Callithrix jacchus: one gene and its partners. The protein of the gene in region 1 binds, or shares a complex with, the protein of each later gene. Links are inferred from orthologs where the notes say so. Each region holds a gene or a part of one and is shown in the gene's direction. Other genes may lie near its edges.

Region 1 (3,968 bases):
AATGAAATACTTATGTAAAAGGACTTAGATTAGAGGCCTACAAATAGGACTCAAGTTCTTGATGAATCTTGATGAGGAGGGTGGGCGAAGTACTCTAAATGTTTGAAAGATTTCCAGAGAGGAATGAGTGACAAAAGCGCCTACCCTTGCATGAAGCTGGAGGTAGAAAATTCCAGCAAAAGAAATTTTCAAGTTTCATTGAAGCTTCTGAACTAAGGTTTGAGGGACCAGGCTAAAAAATAGGCAAAGAGAAGAGGCTCAGTAAGACAACCCCCACCAAGTAGCAGACAGTACCTGAAATGCAGTGGGAAATTTGTGAGGTCTTCATAGGCAAGGGTTAAGTTTTACATCTCCATCTTAATTCTAGTGAAGATATATCATAGTTGTTCAATTACTTAGTGAACAAAAATGTGAATTAAAAATGTCAAGAGGGCTGGGCACGGTAGCTCACGCCTATAATCCCAGCGCTTTGGGAGGCCGAGGCGGGTAGATCACGAGGTCAAAAGATCGAGACCATCCTGGTCAACATGGTGAAACCCCGTCTCTACTAAAAATATAAAAATTAGCTGGGCATGGTGGTGCGCACCTGTAGTCCCAGCTACTCTGGAGGCTGAGGCAGGAGAATTGCTTGAACCCAGGAGGCGGAGGTTGCTGTGAGCCGAGATCGTGCCATTGCACTCCAGCCTGGGTAACTCCTTGTCAAGAAAAAACTATATACATTGTCAAGGAAAAAAATGAAGCAGTGCAGGTTCCACCGAGATTTGAACTCGGATCGCTGGATTCAGAGTCCAGAGTGCTAACCATTACACCATGGAACCTCCACGAATGTGTAGCTGCCTTGGGCTCACTAACCCTTAGAGAACCCCGCCCCCATCCACAAACTCTCCACCCAGAGGCGGTCTGGCCGGTTCCAGCGAGCCGCTTCCGGGCACGGTAGCTCGAGAAATGAGCAAGAGGCCACTAAGACCATGGTGAACTAGTAATTCTAGGGCTCAATTTCCCCTCTGAGCTTCTTTTAGCAGCGAAAGTTTGAAGTCTTAAGCCATGCGACTCTCGCGCACACCGCCCTTCTTGAGCTCAGGGGCGGGGCGCCGCCCCCGGAAGTACTTCCTCTTAGAGGCTGGGGCCTGTCGGAAGTGGCGCAGCTGCAGGGAGGGGCTCTCCACCCAGTCCGGCCGCTGAAGCTCGGCGTTCGGGTTACCCCTGCAGCGACGCCCCCTGGTCCCACAGATACCACTGCTGCTCCCGCCCTTTCGCTCCACGGCCGCGCAATGGGCACCCGCGACGACGAGTACGACTACCTCTTTAAAGGTGAGGCCATGGGCTCTCGCACTCTACACAGTCCCCGTTGGGGGACCTCGGACGCTCCCGGCGGACCCGCCTGCCGGCCACCCCGGCGCTGATATAGGCCTGCCTCAGCCCCTCCTTTCTGTGCGGTTCCGGCTCCTACCCAGCTCGGCGTCTTCTCCCCGCTCAGACAGGGGTCCGCGTCACTTGCCGCTCTGAGCGACCTCCATGGAGGCCTTCGCTGGCCTTAGAGCCCCTCCCTGCGTGTCCTTCCCCCGGTGAACTGCCTTCTCCCCACATCGTGGAATTCCTTTCCCCGGGTTCCACGGCCCCGCCGCTCCTCCCACCGTCTCTCTTTTTGGGTGTAGCGCCCCCTCCCACTCGGTGTACAACCTTCCCGGCTCGCGTCCTCTCTCGAAGCCCCTCTGACGGGTTCTTCGCTTCCCTCCTTGCCTTTCCTTCGGCGCAGACTCCCACTACAGGTCTTTTTCTTATCTGCCCCCTTTCCTCCCTCCCTTCGGACTGCCGCCCGCTCTTAGCTTCGCCCATCCCGGGTCCAGGACCCCGTAAAATGTGAGCGGACCGGGGGCCCCAACTACCAACCCCTCCCCCGCCCCGCGCCCTCCACCCCCACCTCTCGCCGGGCGGTTCTCGCGGTCCTTAACCTTCTCTGACCGCTCCCTCCCCCACTCCCCATTTGGCAACTCTTTCTCTACCTTCCCTCCCCAAATTGTGTTTAGAGCTCCCGTGTCTCCATTGCGACCCGGGTAGTGGGAGGGAGGGTAAGAGGGATCGCCCGTCACCCACGCGCGCACTTGTCGCAGTGACCCGGCAGGCTGACATTACTTCCCACCTAGCCTTTCATTCTCTTGCCTTCCCCATCCAGTAGCACCCAACCCTGGGTAACTCTTGACTCGGTTCGCGAGAAGGGTTTGCGGATGGGTGGTGGCTGTTATCCTTGCCAGACCTGAAGGCCCGGTTCCTGAGCAGGAAAGGTTGTGCGCTGCACAAATACTAGCTTGCTTTATCTCTCTGGACTGGTTGCTTCCTGCTGCAACACTGGGAGGATCCAACAGGAAGGGAAGAGCCCTAGTTGGCCACATACCTTTCCCAAAAGGTTGGGGGTGGGAGGAAGTTGTGTACTCTTTTGGTCACATTAGATATTTGTTATAAGATATGGAAACATGTAGGGTCCTTGGCTAAAACATAAAGGAGGGTCGGGGTGGTTAGAAAGAGTTGCTTATTGGTTGAGTCCGGAAAGAATCCAGATAGTTTTTTTTAAATCGACGAAGATAAAGGGTACATTTTTCAGTGAGAAGAGAGTACAGTAGATGCTTTTTTTGTTCAGTGAATGCGCTCTCACTCTGATGCTCTTTCTCTGCTCCTGAATTGGGAAGGTAGCCATCAGTAGCGTGCCGAACAAAGATCATTAGCAGTGAGGAAGAAGCTATTGCTATTAAAGCTTTACTGTGGAGGGTGGAGTTTAAAGAGTGTTAAGCATGGTGACTGTTGACTTTGCCATTGGGTGCTAAGAATGATTGACCAAACCAGGGAGGAAAGATTTCTTTGCTTTCCCAGTACTTTGCAAATCTTGTTATGCTAGCCTGCTGTCATACATACTCTTCCTCTGACCCAGAATATACTATTGTATAGGGTGAACACTTTCAGTATCCACCCTCACCCCCATACTGGAAAGTACTTTCAGGGTACTTAATTCATTTTACAAATACAAAACTGAGGCCTGGATTACAGAAAGTATACTACAACATACCTTTTGCCGAAGGCATCTGAGATGATGTGAAATTATTTGAGTCTTTTGAGGCTTTGGGGTTAAAGGGAGGTTTGTGTTTTAAAATATGTTGTGGTGGTAGTATGCCACTGACTGCCTTTGAAGTAATTAATTCAGAACAAAATGGACCCTCGGGGTATTTCTCTTGTTTGGTTTCAACTTGAATGTTGGTTATAGAAGGTCTATTTATTTATTTATTTGCGACAGAGTTTTGCTTTGTCGCCAGGCGCCGGGCTGGAGTGCAGTGGCCGATCTCGGCTCACTTCAACCTCCGCCTCCCGGGTTCAAGCAATTCTCCTACCTCAGCCTCCTGAGTAGCTGAGACTACAGCTGCGGACGACCACGCCTAATTTTTTTTTTTTTTTTTTTTTTTTAAAGTAGAGACGGGGTTTCACCATGTTGGCCAGGATGGTCTTGATCTCTTGACCTCATGATCCGACCACCTCAGCCTCCCAAATTGCTGGGATTACAGGCATGAGCCTCCACGCCCGGCTGGTCTTTTAATTTTTTAAGCAAAGAATGTTAAATATTCTAAATTGGCCTAAGGTTTTTCAACTTTTTGATTAGACCATCCTTCTAACAACGATTGAGAGCACTGAGCTTTGGAATCACGTAGACCTCAGTTTAGATCCTGACTCAGGTCTTAAATTTACTTTGTGACCTTGGAAAAGTTCCCTTTTCTGAGTCTCAGATATCTCATGTATAAAAAGAAAAATACCTGCCTCTTAAGATTGTTGTGAGAATTAAATGAGACTGTAAACTTTTAACCATGAGGACTCAATAAATAGTAATGTGAAAGAAGTTATTGTGGTTTTGTGTGTGTGTGTGTGTGTGTGTATTTTGAAACAGGGTCTCCCTCTGTCCCCCAGGCTGGAGTGCAGTGGTGCAATCA
Region 2 (3,500 bases), about 27 Mb from region 1:
CATGCTGGCCAATATGGTGAAACCCTGTCTCCACTAAAAATACAAAAATTAGCTGGACATGGTGGTCTGTGCCTGTAATCCCAGCTACTCAGGAAGCTGAAGCAGGAGAATCGCTTGAATCCAGAAGGCGGAGGCTACAGTGAGCCAAGATCACGCCACTGCACTCCAGCCTGGGAAGCAGAGTGAGACTCCATCTCAAAAAAAAAAAAAAAAAAAGAATTTCAGATCACAGTAATGATTTTTATACATAAATTCCATTCTTTGGGGTGCAGGAATGGTTAATGATTTGCATTCTTCTAGATAAGGTGAATCACAGTGTAATATAAATAATTATATTTCTGTAAAAGGAGTTTGAAATTTGTAGGATTTTAAACATATTTATGGAGTCTTGTTACTTTGTTTTCAAATATTATTGATAAAGCCAAGGGATAACTGTTTAGAAATGTACTCAATATGAATACTCAAGGATTTTTGTTTTTGTTTTTTTTTATTTCATATGCATTTCTTCCTGCCTTATTCTTCACACTGGTGTTTTTGTCCCTTCAGCTTTCTCATGGAATATACAGCCTGATGTAATCCTTACAGCCTGGGTCAGTCAGAGAGAGTCAGCATCTCCATTTCCTTGAGATGTTTAAAACACAAACAAGCAAATAATAGCTGCCTATAACCCACAACCAAGTTTTGGGCCTCAGATAATAATTCCAGGTAGAATAATTCTGGAAAATAACTCTTAAACTGCAGTTTTTCTTGAAATCCCTTCTGTTTGCTCAACTTGCAAAGGGTTAAAAATCTGGTTTCATTAGTTAATTGTGACATAGCCCAAGTTTTAGCTGATAGATAATTCCTTTACTGATTCTGCTTTTAGATATTTTTTCTTTTAAATTTCATTTTATGATTATTATTTCTGAATATACAATTTCTTCCAAAAATAGGACAAGGACAAATACCAGTTTGGTAAGACAAAGATCTTTTTCCGTGCTGGTCAAGTGGCCTATCTAGAAAAACTGAGAGCAGACAAACTGAGGGCTGCCTGCATCCGGATCCAGAAGACCATCCGAGGGTGGCTGCTGAGGAAGAAGTACCTACGCATGCGGAAGGCGGCCATTGCTGTGCAGAGATATGTGAGGGGCTACCAGGCCCGATGGTAGGTCTCATGGTGACATATTAGGGTGCCCATATAATTCACTGTCCAACCAAGGACAGTTTTAAGTGGTCACCATACCTGAAAAGATAACACCTCACCTTTTCTTAGTTCCAAGGAACAACAAATTAACTCATAGCACAACTAAATAGAATGAAATTCACTCAGCCTTATGAATTATTCGGATTTATCTTCCAAGCATTTACAAACTGCTGCCTACTTAATGTCCTAAAAATTTTTATTTTTGATACTTTTATATTGAGCTTGAGGAGATCGTATATTAATTAAGATAGTCATGAATATGAGCTGGTTAATAATGACTGCACTGAAGAATTTGGGGGAGCAATTAACTGAGATGATCTTGAAGAGAAGTACACTTTAGTGTGATTACATATTAGGTTGATTTTAATTGAGAAGTATAAGTAGAAATGAATTAATGAACTTATATGCTAGTAGATTCAGGAAAAATATGGTACGTTAGTAATGGCTAGATTCAAGAAAGCTGGTGATAACTAAGTGTGAGGTTACTGTGTATGTCCATCTGTTATATAAAGAGGACATAGTAATGGATCCTAATGCAGAAAGAATGAACTTTTTTGAATTTCACTTTCTTGTAAAATCTGGCTATGTGGGCCATCCTGCTTTTCAGGGTAAGGGAGGGCTCAAATGAGATAATAAATGAAAAAAAAACTTTGGGAAACTATAAATTGCTATACAAATGTAAGTAAATATAAATGTTGACTTAGCATGCACATTATTAGAATAATACAATGGAGGTACTACTTTTAATGCCTAAAACAGTGACACTCTTTACATTTCTATAACATGTATTCCTGTGTTTTTTTTCTGATGAGTGACAACACACTGTTATTTTCTTTGGCCAGCTATGCTAAGTTTCTGCGCAGAACCAAGGCAGCAACTATCATTCAAAAGTACTGGCGTATGTATGTGGTCCACAGGAGGTATAAGATTAGACGAGCTGCCACTATCGTTCTTCAGTCTTATTTGCGAGGCTACTTGGCCAGAAATAGGTATCGCAAGGTGAGGCATTATTTTCAACTTTGTTTTTTCATTCTATTAATATTAAACAAATTCCACTTCTATATAGAGCACCACAAGGGCTACAATAAACATAGGAACTGTATGGAGACAACCAGCAATTGAAATGTGTATTTATTTATTAAAAAATATTTTTTTTTTTAGAAACAGGATCTTGCTCTGTCATCCTGGCTGGGGTGTAGTGGTGCAGTCATAGCTCAACTGCAGCCTCAAACTCCTGGCCTCAAACAGTCCTCCCACCATGGCCTCCCAGAGTGCTGAAATTACAGGTGTGAGCCACCGTGCACATGCCCAGCCTGAAATGTATTTTAAAATACTAAATAATCACATATATTTATTAACAAAACAATAGGGAAAAAACATATACTTCTTTTTTCTCTTTGTTTATATAATTTGAAAAAAAAGTATTTTAGTTTCCTTTGGCTGCTATAATAAATTATCATAAACTTGGTACCTTAAACCAACTAAAATTTATTCTCTCAGAGTTCTGGAGACCGAAAGTCCAAAATCATTATCACTGGGGCAAAATCAAGTTGTTAGCAGGCTGCTGTCCCTCCAGAAGCTCCAGGAAAGAATCCATTCCTCCCTCTTGCAGCTTCTGGTTGCTGCCAGCATGCCTGTGCTTGTGGCCACATCAGTCCAGTCTCTGTCTCTGTCTTTACAGCATTTTCTCCTCTGTGTATCTGACTTCTCTTCTCCTATCTGCCTCTTATAAGAATAATTCGGATAGCATTTAGGTTGTACCATGTAATCCAGGATAATCCTCTCATCTGAAGATCCTTAACCTAATCATGTCTACAAAGGCACTTTTTCTGAATAAGTTAACATTTGCAGGTTCCAGGAATTAGCACCCAAATTCCTTGGGGCCCATTGTTTAGATGACTACAGGGAACTTTGAATAGGTAGAATATATGACAGACAGGTTGAAGATTATTCCAAGAATGAGACAACCTTGAGAGAAGTTTCCATGGTCAAGAGGAGACAAAGTATAACATTAATGCAGTTAAAATTGTATTGACAGGTATGATGCACCAAAAGTTTTTGACAAATAATCTTTTATCTAGCAATAATTAACAAGGTCACCAGAGTAATTTTAATTATCACCTGTGACCATTGAACAATTTTTATCTCTCATTTTGGCAAGGTTTGGAGTCTGTCCTATAGGGTATATTTCAAATAAGTGAGAAATAGAAGCCTGGATATTAGAGCTCTGTGGACATCACCATTAGAAGGAGCATTAATGGGGTGATTTGGGTCTCTAATCACAGGAAGTATATGGGTGTGACCTAGGCTCTATTTA
Region 3 (4,298 bases), on another chromosome or scaffold:
CATTAATAAAGCTTATCAAACAATTTAAGCTCTTTGGAAATACACATCCACTATTATAATTGTCTCTTGCTTAATTAAAACCTTTAATAAAGACATGAAGACTTTTAAAAATGTATAAAAACTCTAAAAATTAAATTTGATTTCATGATGCTTATTTGGTTTTTGTAAGTTTCAGGTGTCAAATTATTTCTCCTTAGAGATCTTGGGGCAATTCCAATGTACTGTTTGAAAATCCCTAAGAATATTTTTCTTTAAAGTTGACAACTATGCACTCTGGGATTCATATGCTATATTTGCAGTATGACGATTTTGTTCTGTTTTCCACCATGGCCTTTTCATACACTGTCTCTCAGAAATGAAAAATTCTGCCTTGAATGAAGAAGTTTTAAACTTTCTTTAAAATAATAAACACGATATTTTACATGTTTATGGCCACTTAAGTTAAAAAAAAACTCTGCATTTACACGTGTCATACTGTTTCACTCTCAAAATTAGTCTTGTAAAGGGAAAAAAGGCATTAAGTTATTCAATAAATTGAGTGCCTGCTGCATGCTAGGCTCCATGAAGGGGCTGCGTGATAGACAAGGCGGTCCCAAAACATAAAATTTCCTTGGGAAGGTAAGACACGGACAGAATTAAAGGCAATAGGTGTAGTACGTGTCTCTTCCAATTGAGAAAGAGAGGGGCAAAAGGGGACTTCTTTGCCACTTTGTGCCAGGAAAGGCACATGTATTATCTCCTAAAACTCTAAAGTCATGTTTGGGGCGTGGTCTCCACAGGATCTGCACAGTCTACTACAGTGTGAGTCCTCAGAAGGGTCCTTTTAACGTCGTGATGGAGTCTTAGACATGATGTGGAACTGGCCTTTTTTACTCGTGAAAACACTGAGGCTCAGGGAGGTGAAATGACTTGGCCAGGGTCACACATAGTGATAGCCGCAGGAGCGCGGCTGGAACCAGGTCTTCTGACGCCAGCCAAGTGCCTCCCTACATCTCTACTCCCTGTGTTAGTTTTGGAAGCTATTTGCTTCCCTCTCGCCCCTCTTCTGGGTGGGGGATGTCACTTTCAGTGAATTGACAGACTTTTCAAAAATAGAAGGGTGGAAAAGACGTTGGAGAAAAGTTTGCTTTCGGCTAGTGAAGAGGCCTGATTCGTTCCAACACCATTTATGGACCTGCTCGTGTCTGGCACTGGGCATCCAGGATACAGCGAAAACAGATTCCCAGCCCTCAAAGACTGAAAAGGGGTCTCTCCCTAGTTAGGGGCGTCTCCAGGTCCTTGATGATCTCCTCTAAGGAGCGGTGCCCAGGTCTCCCCAGGGCTCACCTGCCGGCGTCTGCAGTCCCCCCAGGTCCCGAGGACCCGCGCCACTGGGCCAGGCCCAAGCAGCACCAGGCCAGGAGCCCAGAGTCCCCGCCGTCGCGCCAGCGTCGCGCGCCTTCAGTCGCCACGGCAACCAGGGAGGTGCTGACCCCTGACCTCGAGGCCCCGCCCCTTCGCGTTCCCAATACCAACATGGAGAAAGCCAACCCGGAAGTGCCGCCGCAGCCGCCCTTCGGGTGCTAGGAGCCGCCAGCCGGGCCAGGCCGACGCCAGCGCCGGTTGCCCTCAACTCGCGGCCCGCCCTGCGTCCCGCAGTCGCCTGGGCGGCCGCGTCCCCCGCCCACCTCCACTCCACCCCCCCGGGCGACCCGCCCTCGCCCAAGAGGAGGAGCTGAGGCGAGGGGGAGGAGGAGGAGGGAGAGGTTTGCTAGAGGGAGCGAGGCCCGGTGAGCCGCCGGCGGTTCGTATTACCGGGGTCGGGAGGAGGAGCAGGGCCGGGCCAGCGGACGAACGCGGGGCGGGCGGGAGGCGCTGAGGCGTCTGAGGCTGCCCGGCCGCAAGGAGGCAGGCGGGAGGCCTGGGGTGCAGAATTGGGGCGGTGGGCTCCCTCCACCCCCTCAGCCCTCCGCCCGGGCCCCGGTGGCCAGGCCTCACGTGCCCGCAGGCCTGGGGAGGTGGAGACGCCAGGAGCGGGGGTTCGCGCGGAGGCCTTCACGGCGCGGCCAGGTGATGGTGGGTCCCTGTGTTTCTCCTGACGAAAGGGGACCCTCGGAGCGGCCGTGCCCCTGGGCTGCCCCCGAGAGGCGTTTTGACATCGGCCTTAGGGAAGTCGGGGAGCCCTGAGCCCGCCGGTCTCCGTTAAGTGCCCTTAGGATGCAGTGATTAAGGAATTAGGCTCTCCCTCCGGGAGGGGCACTGCCTGTGCGTGTGAACTCGTGTGCAGAGAAACAGGACAGGATGATGCTGTCCGAGCAAGCCCAAAAGTGGTTTCCAACCCACGTGCAGGTCACAGTGCTCCAAGCCAAAGATCTAAAGCCAAAAGGCAAAAGTGGCACCAATGACACATACACTATAATTCAGCTGGGCAAGGAAAAGTACTCCACCTCTGTAGCTGAGAAAACCCTTGAGCCAGTCTGGAAGGAGGAGGCCTCTTTTGAGCTACCTGGATTGCTAATGCAGGGGAATCCAGATAAATACATTCTTTTCCTTATAGTCATGCACAGGTCCCTGGTGGGTCTGGATAAATTTTTAGGGCAGGTGGCAATCAATCTCAATGACGTCTTTGAGGACAAACAAAGAAGGAAAACAGAGTAAGTTATGTAATTTATTTTAAATTTGGGGGAGTTTATGTCTTATTTATGGGTTTTCTGTTCCTGGAAATTATCCGCATACTTCGGGCGTTGGTTTTCGGACTGAAATATGACCCAGTTTTAAGCACCATATTTGCATGAATCTGAAGTAAAAATAGCACTCGTGGTGAAATATTTTTTAAATGGAATCATTTATAATCCAGCTATTTCTGTTAGAGGTAAACATCTGTCAGATTGAGTATTCTGCGGTGGATTTTAAGTAAATTAACATTGTTTCAGTATAAGAGGACTGGGTCACAGTATTGACCAACTAGAACTTCGTATAAATTGTTATGGATTTTAAACTTTACAATTATCAATGAAATGGAAGATCAGAAATTAAATTTGCCAATGAAATGTTTATGTGTTGCACTTTGTAGCTGTCAGAAGATAAATTACCAGGTTTAGAACTCAGTATTTCATTTCAACATTATAAACACAGCCTTTATTTTAGCTCAGCCATTTTCAGGGGCAGTACGCCTTGATGGGAGTTCATACCTGTTAGAAGAAAAGAAAGTTTTAAAAGTAGGTAACAACATCCTCAACTTCAAATGCACTAACATTTTCCTTTGAATTTGCGATTAGATCAGAGCTATTGTATTACCTCGGAATTGGTTTTGCAAAGCTATTGTGTTTAGACCATATTAAATGCTGTAGGATTGGAGACAATGATAAATTCTTGTGATGAAATGATTCGATGACATCTTCAGTGGCCTCTTCAGCATAACTTTTGAGCTTGAGTTAGATATATTTTAATGTAAAAAATCATAATATAAATTAACACTAGGATATTGTGTCTTAAATTGAAAAAAAATATATGCTTTTAGAGATAGGTATATTCACCCCCTCCTTAAACTTAAAAGAACATTAATATTAATGAAATTAATGAGAGAAAAATACTGGTTGAACTTCTTAGGACTTTCCATTTTCAAAATAGTGTTGGTGTTTCATTCAGTCATAAATGAATTTATTTACTCTTTTAAAAACTGTCTTATAATGATATTTTTCTTCAAGGTTGTGTTAATTCCTGACATTTTTAAAGCAGCTATCTCTTGTTCTTCTCTTTACATTTCTGCTCTTAGGCTTCTCTTGATGGTAGTTTTTTGTTTCATTTTAAATCAAGTCATTACCTAAGATCTAATATATGTAGAATAAAAGTGTAGAGAGATCTCTACACTTTCCTCTGGGAATGCAAGAGGAAAAAGGATAATATTTAATTGAGATTAAAATATTTTAGAAGGAGAAAGTTTTTTAAGAAGTGTAAAGTTGAATATATATCAGTGATTTGAATAGTAAAATTATTTGATACCTAAAGAGTAGCATTCAGTTTCCTCCGAGGGATTCTTTATCAAATTGAAAGTGAAAAATGGATCATTACCAAATAATCTGTTTCAAATTGCCAATTTTGGGTGACACTTAGTAAATATTTAAAGTGTTTTGAATGTAAACCATTAAGTATATTACAACATCGAATTTCTCCCTTGATTTATAGTACTTTAATGTTAATGGATCATGTATTTCAGACCTCTGAAACATAACTTTTCCAAGTGAAAATAGGCCCAAATGTTAACCCAAAGAGTCTGAGGATGAAATAATCTTTTGCAGTTTCTTCTAGTTTTACTCCTG
Region 4 (4,061 bases), on another chromosome or scaffold:
CTTTCTGCTCTTTCCACTGATATGAAGAGTTTCACTTTAAGTCCAATGAGAGCTGCTCAAGCTTTAGTCACTGCATTTGTCACCGGGGAAGTACCATCCTTTAGACTTTCAGAGGAGCTTTAAAAATTCGGATACCCGGGCCCCATCCTTCCCTGTTAAATCAGAATTCCTTGGGGTGGGGCCTCTTCCTTGGAACCCGTAAAGCTCCCCAGGTAACTCTCATTATGGAGGCGCCCATGTGAAGGACTGCGCAGGTGAATTACAACGGGATCTTGCGTTCCAGGTGGGATCCCTTTGAGAATCACCTTCTGGGGCTCCTGAACTGCCCCAGCTGGTACAGATATATCTTCTGGTTGAGAACCACTTTCAGGGGCCATCCCTGGTTCATGGCAGATGTCACCTTCAGAAGGGAGTGTCTCCTCTGACAGCCCCTGCTCTTCCTCCCAACTCCTGGCAATTTTGTTTTTCCCCTTGGTTGAAATTTCTACTTTCTCCTGGAAGTAGGAGAGGAGCTGAAGTTGCTGTAGGCAGTGAAGTGCCATGGGCAAAGGGAACACAAATAAATGAGGTCGTGAGTGGTAGAAGGACCCGGAGTCTGCAAGTAGGAGAGACAGGGGTTGGGAGAACGTGACTTCCTGGAAAAGCAAAAGTCCCCTGAGAGGAGTGGCCTGGAGTCTGCTTGGAGGGTGAGGGCGAAAGTGGCTAGCATTTTTACAGAAGGAGTTACGACTCCCACGTTTCTGCAAGGATTTCTGCGCAGAGTTCAGTTTGGAGGAGATCCTTGGTGTATGTATATCCGGAAGGCCTTAATAACGATCTGAGAGTAACTGAATTTTAATAATGAAAGCGCTGAATACAGCCAGGTAAAAATCGAGGGCAAGGTCTGGGGGCCTTCCAGTCATAGACGCTTCTCTCTTCTTTCCCCCTCTCTTGTTAGTTCCTGTCCCCTTTTATTCTGCAACGCGTTCGTGCGTGTCTCCGCCGCGCCCTGTGTTGGTGGAAGCGGAGCGCGGCGGGGCAGGTGTGGGCACCGGGGCGCACCTGTGCCTGCGCGCGCGCCGTCCAGCAGGGGGCGGCCCGCACTGGTCCCCGAGCTCGGCTCGGAGCGCCCCGCCCCCGGCCCCAAGGCCCCGGTGGCATTGGGGGCGCGGGAGGGCGCGTCAGGCCGGGCACCGGCAGGGCTCAGAGGCGCGGCGGCGCACCGGCAGTCCGCTCTGACGCGCGCGGGTCCTCCCTCCTCGCCGGCCCTCGCCTCCTCCCTACACCTGGGCGGGGAGCGGCGCCGAGCGGCCTCCTCCCCCGGCGCTCGCAACTCCTGCCCGGCCGCAGCTGCGCCGCAGCCTAGGGAGTAAAGGTCGCGCCGCCGGGAGGGAGCCGGGAGCGAGCCGGCAGCTGAACCTCCGGGAAGCCGGCTCGGCAGGTCCCGGAAGAACGAGAGAGCGAGAAACTCCAGGCCAGCCCGGGAACATGGCGCTAGGCGGGCCGGCAGCGGACTGAGAGCCGCGGGGCAGCGAGGAGCCGGGGCCCGAGCCCCGCCCGGCCCGAGCCATGTCGGTGGGCGAGCTCTACAGTCAGGTGAGCGCGGCCGCGGGGGAGGCGCCGCGGGGAAGGGGCGGTGCGCTCGGGCCACCTAACACTCAGGATCGCCTTCTCCCGCGACTCCTGGAGGCGGGAGGTGACGGGAGACCCCTCCTGCGGTCCCCCTTGTCTCAGTCCTCGGCGTCCCTAACTTCGGTTGGCGGAGAAAGTTTGGCGATTCCGGGAACGCCCGCACTGACCGGCTGCCGGGCTCCTGGAGTTCCCGCAGTGCCACTGCTCAGCCCCAAGCTGGGTCTGTCGCCCTCTTCCCGCCGCGCCCCCTACTTTCGTTGCCCGGGTTCGGCTCCAGCTGAGTTCTCAGAAACGCGAGGGCGACCCTGCCAGCTCTGAGCGCTGTGCGCCGGACGGTCCCCCGCGGTGTGCCCGCGCGCAGTACCCTGTCCCCACCGTGGACTCCGCCCTGGGGGCTCTGCGGCGCTGGCTCCCGAGGGCGCGCCTCCAAGGCGCCCTTTCCTCCCGTATACCCACCATAGGGAACCCTGGACTTGGAAGAGGTGGGGTTCTGCACTTGGTGGAAAGGGAGGAGGCCCAATCTGGCGTGAGGGCGCGGCGGCTGGACCGAGTGGGGGTAAGCGATGGGTAGAGGGTTGCTCCATTATCTCCAGAGACCACAGGAAAGAGCGGTGTGAATTTGCCAGTGATGGGCATTTTGACGCCGGCCCCTCTGGTACCTAGAGGGCTTCAGTGAGTGCGGGGAGGGGGTTGGAGTAAAGCTGAATCGGGAGCAGGGTGTGAGTTTCAGGATGCCTTCAAGGTCAGAAGGGATGTGCGAGGCTGAGTGCTCCGAATCGGGAACAGGTGCAGCCGGGGCGGAGACGCCCGCGTTCAGCAGCAGTTGCTGTGGTTAAAGTTAGGGACGAGCCACCGCTTCTCCGGGAGCTCGAGGCAGCGTTGCAGCCGCCCGGGACCCCTGGAGTTTCAACCTCTAGTCAGGAGTGAGAGGGCAAAAGCCTTTACACATGTGACCCATGCCCCTTTAAGAAAACAAGTTTTGGATAGTCCAATGCCTGGTTTTCCTGTTCGTCTTCTCGGGCGGCGAGAACACGTTTGACAGTGCCTGTGTACATGCCTCCGTGCAGAGTTGTGTGCGTGTGATGTGCACCCGCGTTGCATGGGTGTACGATTCCCAGGACACCCGCCCGGGCCAACAGGTCTGGGCGGGGTAGGAACAGTCACTTCCGCGTCCTTACCTGGCGATCACTCGCGGCTGTCCAGCGCATGTGGGAGCCCTTTGGCTCCATTGGCTGTTCACCCGTCTAAGTTTGAGGAATTTTCAACTCTCATCTTCCTCCGGGAGGGAAACAGGGCTGGGATGGGTTCACTCTCACCCGGTGGCCGCGGAGGCTGTCACTTAACTGGGGGGTGGGACCGCCGCAGCCTCAGATACCGCCTCCGAGCTCACCGGGGACCCCCATGCAGCGATCAGGGATGGGCGACGGCCTCCGGGGGAGGAGGCGAGAGCCAGGGCGCGAACTTTGTGGTAGTCCTGGTGTTGGAACGACACCCCACTTCTCTTAGCTGTCGAGGTCTTGGGAGGATCCCTAAAAGCTCAGCTTTCAGTTTTTTCCCTGAAGCCGGTTAGGTTATCAGGAGCTCAGACTGGAGGCAGAGGAAAAATCTGAACTTGAGTACTCAAAGAGCCGAAGCTTTGTAACATTAAGGTGCATGGAGGTACAACTTGTACTTCTAAGTAAAAGGGGTGACTCGACTGAATATGACTACAATGTGACAAAGTTCCTTATCAGGCAATATTGAATTGCTGCATTATCCGAGGGGGAAGGTTTGGGGGGGGGGGCGGAAATGGAGTTAAAAGATAAAATAAGAAATGTAAACTTTATTTCTCAACGTAATTTCCATCAAGCTCAAGACACTTTTGTGATACCAGCCACTTAATTCCTCCCTCAAGAACTGAGGTTCCTGGGAGTTTTAGCATGTCAGTGCAGCCTCTTACATTTGTGGGAAAACTTCAAGATTAGGACACGACCTCAGAAAGAGGCAAATCAGGACTGTGAGGTGGACCCCTAATAGTTTTCCATAGAAACTCTTGTGAAATTGCTCTTCTTTGAGAGGAATGAGAAGGAGCACTGTTGTGGCAGAAAAGGACTTTCTGGTGAAGCTTTCCTGGGAGTTTTTCTGCTGAGCTTTGGCTTCCTCAAGACACTCGTAATAAACAGATATCATCATCATTTGACCTTCTAGAAAGTCAAGCAAAATGGCTTGAGCATCCCCCCAAGATGTTGCTATGGTCTCTGCTCTGAACCAGTCCACTTTTGCTGTAACTAGACCTCTTGGCAGTTATTGCTTTGATTGGTTTTTGCTTTGGTATTGAACTGGGAGAGCCACATTTGATCCTCTGTTAAAATTCAAAGAAATGTCTTGATCCCACTTGTTTAGAATTTCTATGGAAAGCTCTGCTTGTCTCCAGTTGATCTGGGTGCAGCAGTTCTGGTATCCATCAAGTG
Region 5 (2,345 bases), on another chromosome or scaffold:
AATGATGGGCAGAAAGTGTATCTGAACCTGTCACTCAGAAGGCATCTTAAGGCTAGCAGAGTAGTCTTGACTTAGTCTCCTGTTCTCCCGACCAGCAACTGAAGAAGACTGTGGATGACCTGCAGGCCAAACTGACCCTGGCAAAAGGGGAGTACAAGATGGCCCTGAAGAACCTAGAAATGATATCAGATGAGATCCATGAGCGGCGGCGCTCCAGTGCCATGGGGCCTCGGGGCTGTGGTGTTGGGGCTGAGGGCAGCAGCACATCCGTGGAGGATCTGTCAGGGAACAAACCTGAGCCTGATGCCATTTCTGGTAAGTCAGGGGCCCCACTGGGTAAATGGGCAGATACCAGATTGTGTGATTGGTTTCCCAGGGTCCTCACTTTCTCTTGCCATCACTGGGTCTCAGACTTGGGCAGGCCTGAAGCCTACTTCTGGTGGCTTCCCATGCTTTATGGAACACTGTGTTCATCAAGATGGTACTAAGTGTTCCTCAAAGTCATGATTCTGTGGTCAAATAAATGGGAAAGTTACACCGTCACTCTTCTTTGGGAGTCAAAGTATTCACTACAACATTCGAGGCTGAGAAGTCCTGCAGGAAAGAAGAGCTAAGAATAGGGAATTTGGAATCAGATTTGATTCAAATCTGCCATTACATCATTACTAGTGCATGATGTGGGCAAGGGCCTTTGTATTTCAGTTTCTTCACCTGTAAAATGGGGAGTACGATAGTATCTACTGTATATGCTGCATTGTGTAGGGTGGTGATTCGAATTACAAGAATCAACGCCTGGCACCCAAGCAGCATTCAGCAAATGGTGGCTCTTACTGGCATCTGACCAGAGAGACCTTTTTTCCCAGGGCCAGCCCCTGGATGTAGTTTCTGTTCTGTTCATCAAGAAAACCCACCCGACACTGTCCTTGCATACTTCCTTTATTTTCCTTACTTGTGGGATAATCCCTCTTGGCTCTTTCCCAAGCTCCTTCCTCAGAAGTTCTTTAATTCCTTCAGCAAATATTTAAGTGCCAGGTTCAAGGTAAAGGAAAAGGAAACTATCATTTGAGTAACAACTATGTATGAGTTACTTTAATGTACATCATCTCAAATCCTGCATGGAGAAGATTATGAAGTTTAGAGTTACCAAGGTCACACAGCAAGTCGTGGAATTAAGGATTCAATTCATGTCTAGCCCACTTTCTGTCTCCAGTATTACAGTACTTATCATTTATAAGAAACCTTTATGGAATGCTACAAGGCTGTTTTTAAGGAGAAGAGGGGGAAAAATGGAGTAGGAAAGTTCTATTAAGGAGTGGGATTGTGGGCAAGCTGAAGGAAAACTGCTGAAGGCCAAAGAGGTTTTGAAATCATGGGAACAGCATGTCTCTGGGCCTTGTTATTTTGGCCTACCAAATCACACAGCTACAGAGCACTGTAAAGGACTTCTGGTCTTTTGCAGCAAATGGTGATTCTGCGTGTGTCCTTTATGAGATCAGAAGTTACCTGGAATACAGCAAAGGTCCCAACAGATATTCCATACTGGCCTGTTTCTTCTAGTAGCTCTTGCTTCTCTTGACATAGGAAAGAAGCCCAAGTCCAGCTGGCTTTGTCTGGAGTATGTTACAGATGACCAGAACCTCTTCCTGTGTATATGAGGATCTGTCTGGGGGACTGAGGTAGAGAAAAGGTCCTAATTTGTGGCTGAATCAATGTTCCATTTTTAGGCAGTGTCTTGTGACACTGATTTCTCGGCAGGGTTCTAAGGTTATTGGAAGGGCACTTAATAGCTATGGGATCCAGCTGCTTTAGAGGCTGGTCATTCAGGCTTGGGAAGTCACATTCCTTCATTAGGCACTCACAGTGACAGATTCTGCAGTTCCTGTGCTGTGTCTAGCTGCCTGGCAGCAGCAAGCACTTCTGAGTGTTTGAGGTGACAGATCCCATGTGACTGGTGTTCTTTCTCAACTTAGTGGCCTCGGAGGCCTTTGAAGATGACAGCTGTAGCAACTTTGTGTCTGAAGATGACTCGGAAACCCAGTCTGTGTCCAGCTTTAGTTCAGGACCAACAAGCCCGTCTGAGATGCCTGACCAGTTCCCTGCGGTTGTGAGGCCTGGCAGCCTGGATTTGCCCAGCCCTGTGTCCCTGTCAGAGTTTGGGATGATGTTCCCAGTGTTGGGCCCCCGAAGTGAATGCAGTGGGGCCTCGTCCCCTGAATGTGAAGTAGAACGAGGTGAGTAGCAGCCTTCTCACCCTGTCTCAGATGACACACACTGCCTCTGTAGCCTGACTCTTGTGCCGTGTCGTATCTCTGCCAGGCCTCTGGCCCTCCGTGCTGCATTACCTG
Region 6 (4,209 bases), on another chromosome or scaffold:
CTCTTTTCCCAATGCCAGCCTCACAAAGTCTGGTCCCATGTACCCTGGGATTCTGCCAGGGAGATGACTCAGTTAATTAACACGCTGCTCCTGACGGTACACTTGGAAGCAGAGGTTCCGTTCATTTGGATCTTGCCGAAGCCGCTTATGAAACCGTAACTTATCTTGGTGCCCATGGTATGTAAAAATACAAGTTCATCATTTCCCTGATACATTTCATGACAGGCTAAATTTAGCGCCTCACGCGCTCCTAACTAGCCTGTCCCACCATCATGCCTGCTGCCAGGGCTGTGGTCCTGTTTGAGGTCCTATGTCCCTCTGAGGACAGGGATACTTGGACACAGAAGTCACTTGCCAAACGCAGCCACGGTGCCCGGGAGGCTGGCTAAGGACGGGCGATTCACGCTGGGTGTCTTCTTTAATCTTATTTTTTGTAGAGACAAGGTCTTTCGGTGGTGCGCAGTCTGGTTTCGAACACCTGGGCTCCAGCCATCCTCCCGCTTGGACATGGGCCACCGCGCCCGTCCCAACGCAGTGCGTCTTGGAGACCTTGGTTACAGGCTTAAGGGAAAGGCCGCGCGAGCCTCTGGTTGCCACGGGCATGCACCGCGTGTCTGGGGCCCCTCCGCACTCGGTCTCAGACCCTGCGTTCCCCGGGTCCGCGCGGGTTCTGGGCATGGCCTCGCCCTCTGCCGGGTCTGCGCCCCGCAACTCCTGGAGCACCCGCTACCACTAGGGCCGCGGGGCCAGGCGTGCGCCTCCTCTCGGTCTCATCAGCGTGAGAACGCTCCGCCCCGGAAGGGCTCTGCTCCAAGGGGGCTGCGTGCCGGTTCGTCTTTCGCTCGCCGCGCGGTGCCGTTTACCCCTCCGCAACGGGCGCAGGTCGCTGTCGCTGTCGCCGCAGCTGACCCAGCTGTGCACGACCTGACCCAGCGCGCCCCTGTTCAGGGACGTCACGTCACTTCACACCCGCGCTCACAGCCTCTGGGCACCTCCACGTCCGGCGCTTGAGACAAGGAGAAACGCCAGAATAACCTCGCGGTGACGGCCGCCGCACTGCCGCGGCATTCCCGGCGCCCGCCTTTATAGCAAACCGGAGAGGGGCGGGGCCGGCGCCGCCCGGACGTGCTGACGTCAGGCCCAGCGGAGGGCGGGGCCGGGGCGGTGGTGGAGGCGGCGGCGGCGGCGTTAGTTCTCCGGGTACCTCCGGCGCCTCAGCCTCCTCATCCTGCACCACAGGCTCCGAGGCCTCCGTTCCCCTCGGCCCCGGACCCCGCCGCCCGACCCCTCGCCGCCCTTCCCAGGCCGCCCCGTCGCCATGGGCCGGCGCCCGCCGCGCTGCCGGGCTGAGGGCAGCTGAGGCGCGGCGCGAAGATGGGCGAGGACGGAGCAGGGCCCGAGCGCCAGCCCCAGCAGCCCGGGCGCCCCGCGCGCGCCCGCCCGCGCCGCCGAGGGGATGCCCGCGCCCGCCGCCGCGCCCTGAGCGCCTTTGTCTGCCGCCCGCGCCCGCCGCACCACTAGCCTCTCGGGAGCATGGCGTCGGCCCCGCCGGCCTCGGAGCCGCCGGGGCCTGACCCTGAGCCTGGCGGGCCGGACGGACCGGGGGCGGCGCAGCCGGTGCTGGGCCCCGCGGAGCTGCGCCTCGGAGCGCCAGCCGCCGGCCCCGACGCGGACTCCCCGGGCCTGGGCGAGCCTACGCCCGGAGCCGCTGCGGATTGCGGGGCGCGCTGGAGCGCCGGGCCGGCCCCGAGGCTGGAGGGGAGCCCGCGGCATCCCGGGCCGCCTGCGCCGCCGCCGCGCTCCCCGGGCCCAGGGCCCTGCTTCGAGGCGCCGCTTCCACAGCTCGATCCGTTTTTCTCCTGGACCGAGGAGCCGGAGGAGTGCGGCCCCCCGAGCTGCCCCGAGAGCGCGCCTTTCCGCCGGCAGGGGTCCGGCCGCGGCCGCCGAGCCCGGGGCGAGGTCGACCTCTTCCCGCCCTTCCCCGAGCCCACGACGGGAGAGCTGGCGCTGGGAGAGGGTCCCGGGGCCCCGCCGCAGCCCTCGGACCTTGGCCATGCGCACCCCCTTTCGAGCGAGCCCGCGGGGAGTCAGGAGGACGGCCCCCGCCTCCGAGCCGTGTTCGATGCCCTGGACGGGGACGGGGACGGCTTCGTCCGCATCGAGGACTTCGTCCAGTTTGCCACGGTCTACGGGGCAGAGCAGGTACGGAGTGGCCCGGGCCGGGGCGTGGGAACTGGGCGGGCGCGCGGCCCCTGCAGTCGGGAAAGGCACTGTCGAGACCTGCGGGTCCTGCTTTTTTTTTTTTTTTTTTTTTTTTTTTTGCTTATTCACCCCTTCGGCCCTGGATTTCTGGTTGAATTCGCTGGAGTCCCTCTTCCCCCCCCTTAAAAGGAGGTTCTATTCTGGGGAGTCCGTTTCTTCCCCTCCCCCCAGTACCTGGTCAGCTGGATCTTACTGAGGTCTGCTCCCGGCCTGGGGACACCCTCCCAGGGACCTGATGGAGGTGCCCCTGAACGAAGCGTCCTGCGACTCTCCCACCCGAGGGCCCAGACACTGCTTGGCTGAATCCACCCAACTTCAAGCCGCAGAGGCCAGACTGCCCAGGCACCTTGAGATCTGTTTTGAGCACGGTTACTTTACGATGTATGGTTGGCATCTTTCCTACTTAGGTTTCATCTTTTATTGTTTGGGAGATGGTGAGTGCTTGTAGAAGGGCCTGAAATCAAACATTTTCACTTTGGTGCCTTTGGGGAGGAAGGCAGTGAGTCTCCAAGCTCGTATGTGAAACGCTCGGTGGCAAACACAGAAGTCTAGCAGAACGCCGTTAGGGCCACCTCCACTCTCGAAGGAGAGGTGAAATGCATGGAGAGGCACCATGCACAGTACGGTGTGCCAGGGGGTCCGCACGGTCCTCAGGGCGCCTGCTCCTGGGGGGAAGGTGGGCCCCAAGGTGGAGTGGTTTCTGTCTACCTCAGCACTTAGTAAAGTTTAAGTGGAGGTAACCGCAGGGCTGTGTGTGTTCTGCCAATGACCCAGTGGACATCAGGTAATAGTGTTCACTTCTAAACGTTTTACTTAGTAGGAAATCCCTAAGGTGCTGATCTGTCAGTTTCTGTATGTCGTTGACTTCTCACACATGCAGGCATCTGCTACGTGGGTGTCCAGTACAGATGCGTGTTTAAGCCAAGAGGTCTGTAAGAAAAGTGTTAAAATTGGCACATTGCTATTTAGGGTGTCAGTCACGATATTAAGAACCTTGATGAATCCATATGCCCCCTGAGCATCCACTGTATCCTTCGAGAGTGTCAAGAACAGGGTCCTGATAAATCGGGGCTCCTTGCTGAGTTCACGCTTAGACGGGCAGACAGGTGCCTGCAGTGCTCCCTTGCTTACCTCCGGCTGGGGTATTGTCAGGATGGCTTTCCACCTAGTCTAATGGGCACTGAAATATGTCACTGATAGTTTCTTGTATGGTCAGCGTGGATGGTGGTTGCTGGTCCAGCTGCTTTGCTGTGTTTCCTTCTTGCCCCTGGGCTGGAGAGCACCTTGAGCTCCCTTGGTTGCTGTTGGCTAGTGTGCCGTGTCTTCTCCCAAACATACTCTTGCTTCAGTACAGCAGAGTAGAGTGCCACGTCTGCTCTTCATTACCGTAACCCAGCGCTGATAGAGAGCTTCTGTGAGGCGCAGGTATGTTTCCACTGGATCATCAGCGCAGTCCTCTGAGATGGTAACTAGGCAAGCAGGATTCATCCCACTTCACAGGTGAGAAACCCGAAACCCAGAAAGGTCTCTGCCAGAGCCCAAAGCCTCACAGGGGTAGAACTAGGTCTTTTGGCCCTGAGGCTTTAGATGGCTCTTCTTAGTTCGGTGGCTCACAATATCCCTATTGTGATATTACTTTATCTTGTTGACTTTCATACAGTTCTTTCTTGAGAAAGATCTTTTGTCATAGCTTCCCTTATTGATCACAACGGGAAAAACTTTGGGGTTGCTCTTTGGGGCTGAGCTTTCTTGTCATCACAAAGTAGAAATGAGTGAGAATTCCTTAGTCTGACAGCACTTGGTGGAATTTGAAGGTTGGGGACAAGGGCTGGGTGACTCGGGGTTTGGTGAGGATGGGAAAGTGGAAGGGATTTCCTGTGACATTACTCCTTCTGTCTGTTCTGGACGGCTTAGGAAGAAGCAATTCTGGGCATGGTCTGAGTGCCT

What was found.
Region 2: the proteins of RAB11A (region 1) and MYO5A are in contact, whole or in part, in a crystal structure (PDB 5JCZ), measured with the Homo sapiens proteins. The link is inferred for Callithrix jacchus from reciprocal best matches to the Homo sapiens genes RAB11A and MYO5A. Residues at the interface, in NP_004654.1 of Homo sapiens: Arg33, Glu35, Ile44, Gly45, Val46, Glu47, Phe48, Ala49, Thr50, Gln63, Trp65, Gln70, Tyr73, Ala75, Ile76, Ala79, Arg82; in NP_001369276.1 of Homo sapiens: Ile1660, Gln1661, Trp1738, Met1742, Arg1745, Tyr1746, Ser1749, Gln1750, Glu1753, Arg1756, Gln1777, Gln1780, Val1781, Lys1782, Lys1784, Met1795, Glu1818.
Region 3: the proteins of RAB11A (region 1) and RAB11FIP2 are in contact, whole or in part, in a crystal structure (PDB 2GZD), measured with the Homo sapiens proteins. The link is inferred for Callithrix jacchus from reciprocal best matches to the Homo sapiens genes RAB11A and RAB11FIP2. Residues at the interface, in NP_004654.1 of Homo sapiens: Arg33, Ile44, Gly45, Val46, Glu47, Phe48, Ala49, Thr50, Lys61, Trp65, Arg72, Arg74, Ala75, Ile76, Ala79, Tyr80, Arg82; in NP_055719.1 of Homo sapiens: Glu478, Ile481, Asp482, Asn483, Leu485, Val486, Met489, Glu490, Pro493, Ser494, Leu496, Arg497, Val498.
Region 4: the proteins of RAB11A (region 1) and MYO5B are in contact, whole or in part, in a crystal structure (PDB 4LX0), measured with the Homo sapiens proteins. The link is inferred for Callithrix jacchus from reciprocal best matches to the Homo sapiens genes RAB11A and MYO5B. Residues at the interface, in NP_004654.1 of Homo sapiens: Leu11, Lys13, Arg33, Glu35, Ile44, Gly45, Val46, Glu47, Phe48, Ala49, Thr50, Gln63, Trp65, Glu71, Arg72, Tyr73, Arg74, Ala75, Ile76, Thr77, Ala79, Tyr80, Arg82, Gly83; in NP_001073936.1 of Homo sapiens: Ile1627, Gln1628, Gly1629, Leu1630, Trp1706, Met1710, Arg1713, Tyr1714, Ser1717, Gln1718, Glu1721, Arg1724, Gln1745, Leu1747, Gln1748, Leu1749, Lys1750, Lys1751, Glu1755, Ala1759, Leu1763, Tyr1779, Glu1786.
Region 5: the proteins of RAB11A (region 1) and SH3BP5 are in contact, whole or in part, in a crystal structure (PDB 6IXV), measured with the Homo sapiens proteins. The link is inferred for Callithrix jacchus from reciprocal best matches to the Homo sapiens genes RAB11A and SH3BP5. Residues at the interface, in NP_004654.1 of Homo sapiens: Tyr8, Asp9, Tyr10, Leu11, Lys13, Glu35, Phe36, Asn37, Leu38, Glu39, Ser40, Ser42, Thr43, Ile44, Phe48, Lys58, Gln63, Trp65, Tyr73, Ile76, Ala79, Arg82, Gly83; in NP_004835.2 of Homo sapiens: Asp42, Ile45, Gln46, Leu49, Glu50, Asn53, Thr56, Ile59, Asn60, Glu63, Thr64, Glu67, Lys240, Tyr243, Leu247, Leu250, Glu251, Ile253, Ser254, Asp255, Ile257, His258, Arg261.
Region 6: the proteins of RAB11A (region 1) and RAB11FIP3 are in contact, whole or in part, in a crystal structure (PDB 2HV8), measured with the Homo sapiens proteins. The link is inferred for Callithrix jacchus from reciprocal best matches to the Homo sapiens genes RAB11A and RAB11FIP3. Residues at the interface, in NP_004654.1 of Homo sapiens: Arg33, Ile44, Gly45, Val46, Glu47, Phe48, Ala49, Thr50, Trp65, Arg72, Arg74, Ala75, Ile76, Ala79, Tyr80, Arg82; in NP_055515.1 of Homo sapiens: Asn731, Phe732, Gln735, Ile738, Asp739, Arg740, Ile742, Val743, Met746, Glu747, Pro750, Ser751, Leu753, Glu754, Val755, Lys756.

What each region holds. Positions count from the first base shown.
Region 1 is NC_133509.1:12,876,713-12,880,680, forward strand, and holds the start of RAB11A (ras-related protein Rab-11A), read left to right. Parts: upstream 1-1,168; 5' UTR 1,169-1,271; coding exon 1,272-1,311; intron 1,312-3,968. UniProt on the Homo sapiens protein: The small GTPases Rab are key regulators of intracellular membrane trafficking, from the formation of transport vesicles to their fusion with membranes.
Region 2 is NC_133509.1:40,063,488-40,066,987, reverse strand, and holds part of MYO5A (unconventional myosin-Va), read left to right. Parts: intron 1-932; coding exon 933-1,144; intron 1,145-2,025; coding exon 2,026-2,182; intron 2,183-3,500. UniProt on the Homo sapiens protein: Processive actin-based motor that can move in large steps approximating the 36-nm pseudo-repeat of the actin filament. Can hydrolyze ATP in the presence of actin, which is essential for its function as a motor protein. Involved in melanosome transport.
Region 3 is NC_133513.1:110,981,909-110,986,206, reverse strand, and holds the start of RAB11FIP2 (rab11 family-interacting protein 2), read left to right. Parts: upstream 1-1,498; 5' UTR 1,499-2,280; coding exon 2,281-2,633; intron 2,634-4,298. UniProt on the Homo sapiens protein: A Rab11 effector binding preferentially phosphatidylinositol 3,4,5-trisphosphate (PtdInsP3) and phosphatidic acid (PA) and acting in the regulation of the transport of vesicles from the endosomal recycling compartment (ERC) to the plasma membrane.
Region 4 is NC_133514.1:93,367,797-93,371,857, reverse strand, and holds the start of MYO5B (unconventional myosin-Vb), read left to right. Parts: upstream 1-1,261; 5' UTR 1,262-1,548; coding exon 1,549-1,575; intron 1,576-1,890; exon of another isoform or gene 1,891-2,167; intron 2,168-4,061. UniProt on the Homo sapiens protein: May be involved in vesicular trafficking via its association with the CART complex. The CART complex is necessary for efficient transferrin receptor recycling but not for EGFR degradation.
Region 5 is NC_133518.1:54,072,434-54,074,778, reverse strand, and holds part of SH3BP5 (SH3 domain-binding protein 5), read left to right. Parts: intron 1-95; coding exon 96-315; intron 316-1,970; coding exon 1,971-2,231; intron 2,232-2,345. UniProt on the Homo sapiens protein: Functions as a guanine nucleotide exchange factor (GEF) with specificity for RAB11A and RAB25. Inhibits the auto- and transphosphorylation activity of BTK. Plays a negative regulatory role in BTK-related cytoplasmic signaling in B-cells.
Region 6 is NC_133513.1:2,679,903-2,684,111, forward strand, and holds the start of RAB11FIP3 (rab11 family-interacting protein 3), read left to right. Parts: upstream 1-1,409; 5' UTR 1,410-1,533; coding exon 1,534-2,202; intron 2,203-3,627; exon of another isoform or gene 3,628-3,762; intron 3,763-4,176; exon of another isoform or gene 4,177-4,209. UniProt on the Homo sapiens protein: Downstream effector molecule for Rab11 GTPase which is involved in endocytic trafficking, cytokinesis and intracellular ciliogenesis by participating in membrane delivery. Recruited by Rab11 to endosomes where it links Rab11 to dynein motor complex.